2 linked regions of the Caenorhabditis elegans genome follow. The protein of the gene in region 2 purifies or fractionates together with the protein of the main gene of each other region. This does not show direct contact. Each region holds a gene or a part of one and is shown on either strand. Other genes may lie near its edges.

Evidence for each region.
Region 1: the proteins of mig-32 (region 2) and F29B9.1 fractionate together in Caenorhabditis elegans (co-fractionation; one large-scale study listed by BioGRID). This does not show direct contact.

Annotation. Positions count from the first base shown.
Region 1 is NC_003282.8:4,663,334-4,668,003, forward strand, and holds F29B9.1 (Protein-lysine N-methyltransferase CELE_F29B9.1), read left to right. Parts: upstream 1-2,045; 5' UTR 2,046-2,090; coding exon 2,091-2,152; intron 2,153-2,209; coding exon 2,210-2,390; intron 2,391-2,436; coding exon 2,437-2,565; intron 2,566-3,031; coding exon 3,032-3,222; intron 3,223-3,758; coding exon 3,759-3,906; 3' UTR 3,907-3,958; downstream 3,959-4,670. Other genes in the region: jmjd-1.2 (JmjC domain-containing protein), read left to right, coding at 1-19, 338-710, 765-1,502, 1,553-1,608.
Region 2 is NC_003282.8:12,088,699-12,094,433, reverse strand, and holds mig-32 (Polycomb group RING finger protein 3 homolog mig-32), read left to right. Parts: upstream 1-2,220; coding exon 2,221-3,219; intron 3,220-3,994; coding exon 3,995-4,470; intron 4,471-4,784; coding exon 4,785-4,959; 3' UTR 4,960-5,148; downstream 5,149-5,735. Other genes in the region: F11A10.5 (Protein ST7 homolog), read right to left, coding at 1-57; cpsf-4 (Cleavage and polyadenylation specificity factor subunit 4), read left to right, coding at 1,019-1,141, 1,191-1,829, 1,876-2,022; F11A10.6 (Transmembrane protein 115), read left to right, coding at 5,412-5,523. UniProt on the Caenorhabditis elegans protein: Component of a Polycomb group (PcG) multiprotein PRC1-like complex, a complex class required to maintain the transcriptionally repressive state of many genes, throughout development. Required for ubiquitination of histone H2A.

The sequences.
Region 1 (4,670 bases), 7.4 Mb from region 2:
CTACTATCACATTTTGAAGGTATAATTATTGAAGGAATATAAATGGTTCCGCGGATTGTGAACGTTCTGACCCCGCCAAAATGTTCTCAAATTAACGAATTTCGTTTGAAACTTCTGAAAAAATTCTCAATATTTTTTTGGTTTTTTTGGAGGTTCAAAATTAAAAAAAAAAGACTAAATTTGGCTAAAATCTCCTATTTTCCGAGATTTTAAAAGCATTTTTGAGAAGCCTCATCACGAAATTCGTTGATTTGAGCACATTTAGGATCGTAATGTTCGAAATACCCTTCTTTCAACTGAAATTGGTTTTCTCAAAGCTTATTAACTCTATTTTCAGGGCGAGAAAATCTTCTACATCGCCGCGCCAACGGAGCAGAACTTTGCAGCTTATCAAGCACACGAGACATCTCCGGACACCACTACATGGTTCGGTGACATTGCCAACGGAGCTGTTAAGCGAGTTGTGATCAAGGAAGGTCAGACACTGCTCATCCCGGCTGGTTGGATTCACGCGGTTCTCACTCCAGTCGATTCGCTCGTTTTTGGAGGAAACTTCTTGCATTTGGGAAATCTTGAGATGCAAATGCGCGTGTACCATCTCGAAAACGCGATTCGTAAGGAAATTAGAAGCGAGGAGAAGTTCTACTTTCCGAATTTCGAACTTCTTCATTGGATGTACATGCGAAACGTCTTGCTTGAGAAGATTACAGGTAAGCAATTTACTAGTTTGTATAGCGGTTTTACTAATATTCGCTACATTTCAGAAGCCAATCAGGAAGGTTCTGACATGCGTGAGCAGGAGAAGAATATTTGGACGGCGTCACAAATCATGAAGGCCGAAATGGAGCGCTGGATGGATCGAGAGTTGAGATTGGGTCCCGAGAAGAACGCGATCCTGCCCACTGACGACAAGAATAAGATTATGATCTCGGTGAGGAAGCAGATTGAGATTCAGACGAAGATTCAGAATGCCAAGAATAAGCCGATGGGGTTGAAGCAGAAACGTAAAAGTCGAGAATCCGCGGAGCGGGATGATGAGGACTATTGCCCGTCCAGCTCGACTGCCTACAAGAAGAAGTATACGAAAAAGGCTAAGAAGGACAATGATGATGCTCCGAAGGTGAAGAAGGCGAAGAAAGAGGAAGTTCCCGAGGAGAAGGTTCCGGTTCCTGAAGCAGCAGGTCCTTCCGAAGTTACAGCTCCATTGACCATCAAGATTGGAATGGGACCGACTGAAGATCAGAAGGGCGTTGTCCAGATATTCAATAATCAATGCACGTCGTCTGGAAGAAAAGTAAAGTTGAATCAGAACGTGGCCGACTATTGTGGATCCCATCTCGAAGCACGCGTCGAAGAGATTCCGGAAAAGGCGACGAAAAGCTTCCGCGAGCTTGACAACGAACTGGAGCGCTGTGAAGCTGTTCATTCCGGAGAGAAAATCAAGAAGGTTAAAGAGCCAAAGCCACCGAAGCAACCAAAAGAGAAAAAGGAGAAACCACCACGTAAGAAAAGATCGAAACCTTGAGAACTGTTTAATAATTTTTTTTTTCAGCAAAGAAAAAGGAAATGAGTTCCAGAGATCGCCTCATGAAGAAGCTCAAAATGTGAACGTCCTCTACCTCAAGATATGTGTGCACTTTGACGAAATATAAATCTCGTACAATTATAAAGTGCCCCCCGATCTTAATAGTAATTTCCCCGTATTTTTGACTAATTTTTACATTCGTTTTATTGTTTTATTCACACAATCCCATATTCTTTCACGCGGTTCTTTTGCATCCAAAAATTTGTACAAGACGATCTCCCGAATTTACTGACGGGGATTTTTTTGTAGTTTGAAAATACACACGCACAATAAAGCGTTGATTATGTTAATTTTTTTCCTTGATGTGAACATTGTTGAAAGTGAAATGCAAGAAAATATCTGCTTTTTAGACTTTAAACTTGGATTTCCTAGAAGAGATCTCTCTAGAGAGTGAACAGAGAATTAGAGAAACGAGGCAAATGCAAATGCAAAAAAAGCTCTATGGAACTACTTTTTTCAGATTTTGGAATTTATTATTTATTTTCGGGTTTTAAAATAGCTTGAAATGAGCGACATGAGCGAACAAAGTGTTGAAATTGCTTCTTCACAACTTGGAACCAAGGATTTGTAAGTAAAAATTCTAAAAATTTACATCTAGAGTTGGCTAAAACATTTTTATTTCAGCTGGGATCAACGATACGAGTTGGAACTTAAAAATTTCAAGCAACACGGAGATGAGGGAGAGGTGTGGTTCGGAACATCGTCTGAAACACGAATCGTAAAATATTTAATCGATTCGAAAACCGGCAAAGATGCAAAGATTCTTGATTTGGGATGTGGAAATGGATCGGTTTTGAGGAAATTGGTATGGATTTCGAGCTCAAAACCTCTGAAATTCAGTTTTTTTTCAGAGATCGAAAGGATTCCAGAGTCTGAAAGGTGTTGATTATTGTCAAAAAGCTGTTGATCTTTCTGCAGCCGCTTCGAAAGCTGAGCGAGAAGAGGAAGAAGACGAAGAATTAGTAGATATTGAATTTGAGGTGTAAATTTTTGAATTTTGCATCATTAAAAACGGAGAAGAGGTGTTTATTCATCTAAAACATAAATTTTTGCATAAATAACGAAAAAATAGCTAATTATTTTGAATTTCCGCGCAAATAAATTACCTAGTTCCGACATTTTCGCGTTTTCCGACTAATTTGATTGGTTTCTTTTGTAAAAACACCGTTTATCAATTTTCAGACATTTTCCCGGGAAGAAGGCCTGAAAAGCGCTAAGTTTACTTTAATTTATAATTTTTTTGCGGAAAACTTTCTAAAAATTGACAAGGGGTGTTTCAAAAGTTTAAGGAAAATATAAGAAAATCGAAGAAAACGCGAAATGTCGAAACTAGGTTATTAATTTGCTCGGGAATTTAAAATTAATTCACCAATTTGAATTTTTTCTGCAAACCGCCTTTAAATATTGTTTTTCTCGAAATTTCAAAGCAAAAACGTTTTCTTTCAGCAATTGGACATAACCACACCGCCAGCCGACTTTTTCTCCTCGAAATTCGATGTAATTCTCGATAAAGGCACATGGGACGCGATGAGCCTATCCGATGAACGAGAAGCTCGTCTGAAAGCCTACTTGGGTTTTCTTGATAATGGTCTGAGCGCTGGCGGTCGATTTGTGATATTCTCGTGTAATTTCACTTTGTAAGTAGGCCTAAAAAGGGCCTCGAAATGAAACTTCTAAATAGGTCACTCCAAAAAATTGAGCGGCATACGAGCACTTTGAAACTGAGAAAAGTTGATCTGAAACAGCTTCCAGACCATTTTTTTCCATTAAAAAGTTTATCAAAAATTTGCATTGTTTTTTGACCAAAAATTTTTTGACCAAAGTTTTCAGTTAAAAATTGTATTTTTTCAATTAGGGAGATTTAAAAAAGAAAATCAATTTAGATATTTCCAACAATTTTCCAAGGTTTCAGAAAAAATCGGAATTTTTTTTGACTGAACCAAATTTTTTGATTAAAAAAAGTCAGGATTTTTGAATTTTTTAAAAATCGTCTCAAATTGTTCATTAGATTCAAAAAAAATATTGAAAAAATGAGCTGAACCGAGTTCAGATCGATTTTTTCTAGTTCAAAGTTCTCGTATGCACCTAAATTTTTTGAAGTTACTCTTTCAAATGACATATGCAAGTTCAAATACTTCCATTGTAAGTCGAAATCAATTGTTTTCCTTTTCAGCGACGAGATGTGCTCGCAATTCGGTGGCGGCGGCGGCTCAACAAGTCTAGAGATCGTGTGTGAAGTACCAGCAAGTCACAGCTTCTCGTTTGGCGGAAAACAAGGTGTCACTTCAACGGGTGCCGTCTTCCGGAAGAAGACTCTATAAACACCTCTCCTCTGTGTTATTGTTGTTGTTCATTTCTTTTCCCCCTTCCCCCCCCCCCCCCACATTTCTCCCATCGTTTCTCAGTTTCTCAGTTGTTATATAAAAAAAAAGTAGGTTTCTCTTATCTCTCTCCCACTGTGTTCTCTCTTTAGCTAATCAGGTGCATCATCATCATCATTTTAACGCCAGTGTTGCTCGGCATGATGGATCTTGGAGAAAGTGGCAGCAGACCCTTCTCCTCCTAGACTACTTTTCGCGGAAAATGGGAGTTTGATAGGGCGGCGCCTTCTTAGACGCGGGGAGCTCCTTCGTCTCCAGGGACTCCTTTTGAAGGAAGGAGATGGGGTGCTTGTGACCCGAAGATGGGGGCTCACTTTCGGCTCCGAGCACAAGTAGCAGCAACAGCAGCAGCTGCAGAGATTCCACGTTGTGAAAGAGCTTCTCTTTTCGACCTTTCGTCGCCTCATTAATCATTCATTCAATCTTTTTTACATGTTCGTTTTCTACCTCTTGCTCCCCTCCCGTACGCACACTTTTCACACATTTCTTTAATCCATCTGAACATGCATATTTCTCTTGTTTTCTTTTTGTTTTCTGGGTGACTTCTTGGTGGTTTTTTATTAGTCTGTATAGGCAGAGTGCCAAAGACAATTGACGACGACACACACACAAGTATAGTCGTTTTTTGGTGAAAGAAGGAAGGACGAAAATGTTATGCAAAAAAGTTGACTTCCGGAAGTTTTTCTGCAACTTTTCTTTTCAAA
Region 2 (5,735 bases):
AAGCACTGCAACAAGTGCGATCCATAGGAGCCACAGGAAGGTCCATGAACAGGCCATGACCCCTAAAACACTCCAATATTAGGAAATATAAAAACTAAAAAGGCTTTGAGAGAAAAAAAAATCGATAAGAGATGAAATTGATCGGATCATTTTGCTCATTTTCGTGATGTGTAGGAAGCTAAAATTAAAAGGCTTTAATTTTGTTTGAAAGTTCTCAATTTCTTGTACCGCGCATGAAATAATAGTCAAAAATATTACTTTTAAGGCAAGATGCAACTTATTATCCGACAGCCGGTTGGTGGTTGTTGGTGACGTGCCAAAACAACGCAGAGAGAGAGACCGCGAGACATGGAAGACGGACGAGAAATCGATTCAATTCAAACCCTACGGCCGCGGCCTTGAGCAAATTTGTATTCTTTTACGTTAGCTAAAATATTTAACATTTCCGCATAAAACGCAAATTTTCATATTCGCAGCCTTAGTCTTTTTGAATTTACAGATTATTTTACGCTTGGTCGCTAATATATTATTTAAAACATATGTTTCTAATTTGAGTTTACTTTTGAAAGTTTTAAATCTAGAATAAACATTTTTAGTTAGAAAAAACGTTTTTTAATCAACCTATATCAAAATGCACGTAAGAATCGTGTCAATTTTCAATTCCGTTAGCTCAGGATTTTGCAAAACGAGAAAGGAATAAAACAGTTTCATCGGATAAAACAAATTCAATTTTTAATTTAAATTAAAAGAGTTTGAAATAAAAATAGAATTTATCGAACAAAAGTCGATAATTGGAAAACAATTGAAACTTTGTACGCAATTATTTGAAATCTGTGCAATCACCGTTGCTTACCGTAGTCGTGTAGTCCTCTCGGACAACTTTGATGCTTGGCTGATTTTTATTTCTGGAGTTTTTTTTTGTTTCTCCGGAGAAACAAGTTGATTAATCATTACTTTTTTAGTCAATCAATTATTATTTTATTCTCAGATGATTGTGGTGGCGCAGCATGTTCCGGATATGCAGCTAAATCCGATGCAAAGATTATTCGCTCCTCAAACCATGACAGATCTTGTTTCGAATATTACCGCTCCTATGACTGATGTGGAAGAAGCTTTGTTCAATCAAAGAGGAATGAAAGAGGTACAATTATTCTTCCAGTATAAAATTACAACACATATTCAATTTTCAGGCTCCCTTTCGCGATCTGGATCGAAGTGGAAAAGCGGTTTGTAGGAAAAACAAATTAAAAATGTGTCCATTCGGTCCAACATGCCCTCTTCGTCACATCGATGGAGAAAAAGCTGTCGTATGTAAGCATTGGCTTCGTGGTCTTTGTAAGAAAGGAGATCAATGTGAATTCTTGCACGAATATGACCTCACAAAAATGCCCGAATGCTTCTTCTTCTCTAAATACAGCGCGTGCAGCAATCGAGAATGCCCATTCCGACATATTGATCCCGAAACGAAAATGAAAGACTGTCCATGGTACGATCGTGGATTCTGCAGGCATGGACCATACTGCAAACATCGCCATCGTCGTCGTGCAGTCTGCCCCAACTATCTCGCCGGATTTTGTCTACAAGGACCAGATTGTCAATATGCTCATCCTTCATTCGGTCTGCCATCATTCGAGAATATAGCTGTCAGTCATGCCAAACCAACATACAGTCAAGCTATTACTTGCCACAATTGTCATGAAAGAGGCCACAAGGCAACTACATGTCCACATCTTCCAGGACAAACAAGACAAAATCAAGATCATCACCATCGTGTTGATCTCTCACTTATACCAGATAAAAAGAATCTATCAGATGTTACTTGTTACAAGGTAGGTTCATTTTAATCATAAAAAAAGTAAAATAATTCAATTTTAGTGCGGAGAGAAAGGTCACTACGCCAACAGATGCCACAAAGGAGCTCTCGCATTCTTGTCAAATACTGCTCACCTGGCTCACGAACAAAGAGAAAAAGATGAAAAAGAACAAGGAAGGATCAATAATATGCTAAGGCCGCCAATGTGAACATTGTCGAATATAGGAGAACGGGTGGAATCTGTTATTTTTGTTGTTTGTCAAGAATTCGAGACTGTTGGAATAAAAATTTAACCTTCCAATTATTTAATTTGTTGTTTTTTTAATATTCTTGGTTTGAAACCACAATTTTACTGATTAACATTACAAATTTATTTTATAGAGTTATATTAAGCTAACATTATTCAGATGACTCGAAAAAGACCAGCTCTTGCAGAACCGGTTTCATCTTCTCGATCACGGGTAACGAGAAGATCAACAACAGGTGCACCTTCTTCAAAAAAGAAGCGTTCACCTGAACCGGAATCTGATGCAGATTCTGAAGATGATTACGATGGCCCATCGACATCCCAAACCAAGAAATTGAAGCGGGGAAATTCATCGACGAATCGCGGAAAAGCAGCTAATAAGACAAAACGAGGATCTTTTCAAGTTAAACAAGAAATCATGGATGACGATGAAAATGAGGAAAAAATAGATGGAGAAGTAGAGAATGGTATAACATCCAGAGAACATTCACCTGATCCATCTACGTTCAAAAAGACAGCGAAATTACAAACTAAGAAGAAAAAGAAAAAAGAAAGCCCGCCGGAAACTCCACCAACATCACCAAGTCCATCACCATCGCGTTCGGTGTCTCCGTCTACAACAAAATCAGATATTTCTTCGAAAAAAGGACGCAAGGCTGTTGTAAATTCAGTATCAAAAGTGAAAATCGAAAAAGAATCTACACCAGTAAAAACGAATGGAAGAAATTTACCTCCTAAACGAAAAAAGAAGCCAGTTGAAGAAGAAACTGCAGAAGAAATTAAACTTCGTGAACGAGCTGAACGTAAAGCGAGGAGGATAGAAGAAGCTAAAAATCGTCCGAAACTAACTATTGAACAAAAACTGGCAAAACTTCGGAAGAAAAAAGAGCGAAGAGAACGGAGAAAAGAGCAAGAAAAGGAAGAATCGATGCGGCAGAAATATGGGCAACGAAAAATCAAAGCAGAAGCCAGTAAATGGAATTTTGGTCCGATATCATCGATTAATCAACGAAGGAGGGACGAAATGATGGCTTATTTTCCAAAAGCGAATTTTTTGGCCGAAGATGGTGTACCAAAAGTGATGAACAATTTTCGAAGAGCAACAGTGAAATATAATATGGAAGTTTTGAATCCATTCATTACGTGTGGAATTTGTGATGTGAGTTTTTAGTTTTAATTTATAAGTCCAAATATTTAAAAAAAAAACCAGATCATAAATTAAACTTTAAAGATCGGTTAAATTTTTACTTTGAATTTGAAGTTTTCTGAATTGAATTATCAGAAATTTCTGTATTTAAAAAAAAAAGATTGAAATAAAAAAAAATTGAAAAGAATTAGGATTTCTTGATTAAAAAAAATTACATCGTGTTTGTGAACCAGAATAAAAGAGAATAATAACCTCTCGAAGTGTTTTTCGGTAATTTTTAGTGCAATTTTTGAAAAAAATAGAAATTTTGGAAATTTGATCACTTTTTTGGATAATCTGAATTTGGAAATTACCAACACAAGTTAAAAATTTATTCAAAAAATTTTATAACTTTCCTTGAGTTGTTTGATCTCCTCTATTCCATTTTTTGTAGAAAACTAAACAATTATCGCACAAATCTCTGTTGATTTTTCTGGTTTTTCACAAAAAAATACTTCAATCACAAGCAAAGGCATTAAACTAAATGGAAATCACCATAGGAAAAAATTATATAAAAAAACTAATAAAAGTGAATTTTATTCCTACAGTCTTATAAATACAGAGTGCTTGGCGAGACAAAATTTGTATAATTTGCTTCCCTGGAAGCCCATGAAAAGGAAAAAAGATAACGAGGTTCCGCTACAAAATCATTCTCATTTCTAGAAGTTTTCGTTACGATCTAGACTTTAAATCTAGATGCATAAAATCAAAAAACCCATATTTCAAGAATTTAATTATATATTTTCAGGGCTACATCGTAGATGCAACAACAATAATTGATTGTATGCACACATTCTGCAAGAGTTGTCTTCTAACATATTTTGAATCGGATAACAACACGTGTCCAACATGTGGAACATTTATTCATGGATCTCATCCAACTCATTACGTGACTTATGATCGAGCAGTCAATGAACTTGTCAATCAATTTGTGCCAAAAATGGAGAACAACGAGTTGGACGTACGGAAAACGTTTCTAAGAGACTGCCGAGAAGCTCTAGGAATTGATACGGCAGCCGAAGATCGCGAGAGAAAAGAACGACTGGAAAGAGAACGAATAACTGGGACAAATAGATGTTATCCATTGGAAAGGCCTAGATTCTCACATCATAGAGATGATTGTCAAGTGACTGTTAATCTACTCCCCGGGACTGCTAATCTACCTCTTATCACTCGACCGTATGTTCGGTGCAGTGAGATGACTACTATGAATACTTTGAAAAAGTAAGGTTTTTCAAGTTGTATTCAAATTTTGGTTTTTAAAATTTTATCGTGATAACATAAAAGAAAAAATTAATTAAATTTGAAACAATATGACGATTTTGACTGATCTCCTCAGTTGAATTTCCGCGCATTATTCTCCGAAACCACGCCTATTTTTCCGTGCCGCACTTTTACTTTTTTTCAATTACAACTCAAAGTTTTGGTATTTCTCCGAAATTTCAAAAACAAATTTTTTCTAGATGTAAAAAAAATATTTATTTCAGGTTAAAAATTTTAAGGAAATTAATTTTTTTATAATTTTCCTTCTTTTTCAGATTCCTATCTCTTCAAATATGGGACGATCAGAGCCGGTATTCTGATTTAGACATGTTTTGTGACGGACAACTCATGGGAAAAGACTTTTCGGTTCGCTTTGTTTGGATGATGAAGCGCCGTGGTCAACCCAAATCTGAACCACTTATAATTCGATATCATATGACGAGAACATGATCTTCTTCTATCGATTTCTTCTTTCTTCTGAACTTCTCAAGAACAAATTCCCAGTTTTACCATGTTTTAGTACTGTACCATGTATCTCTATCTCTATATTTTGTCTCATTTCCTATGTTTTCATATTTATTAACTGCATTTTTTTTTCAAAAACAACCAAACCCCAAGATGAATAACACGTGTCTAATTAAATTTTTTTGTTGGTTTAAAATTTCTTCGATTTGAAAAACGTGAAGTTTCTTCTTCTGGAGAGAGATTTTATCGTCACCTTCAAAATATCCGCTTATTTCCTGTTTTCACCAGCCACATTTTGTTCTGCTTTTCGATAACATAGTGTTGGTAAGTGAGAGAGTGAAAGAGAAAGGTTCTCAGTGGGGCGCACTTGACGAATCCAGCTCACAGCGTTTACACCATTCCTTTGAAAGACATTGCCGAGTGGATTTGCAGACAAAATGGGAGTGAAAGCTGTGCTTGGCGATCTGCAAATCGTCGTGGAACGGCATTCAGACGTCTTACGGAATAATGCGTTACCGTTCAGATTTCTTGTTGTGCTACGAATTATTGGTGAGTTTTTGCCAATAATTATTATTACCCAGACGTGAGATTTTGCGATTTTTGGGCCAAAAATACCGTATCTGGTTTCAGCACGGCAAATAAAAATGCGTGTGCGCCTTTGAAGTGTACTGTAATTTCAAAGTTTTAGTTGCTGCGGAACTTTTATCGGTTTTTCGATGAAAATATATTTATTTATTAAAAAATCTTGAATGAAACGGTAA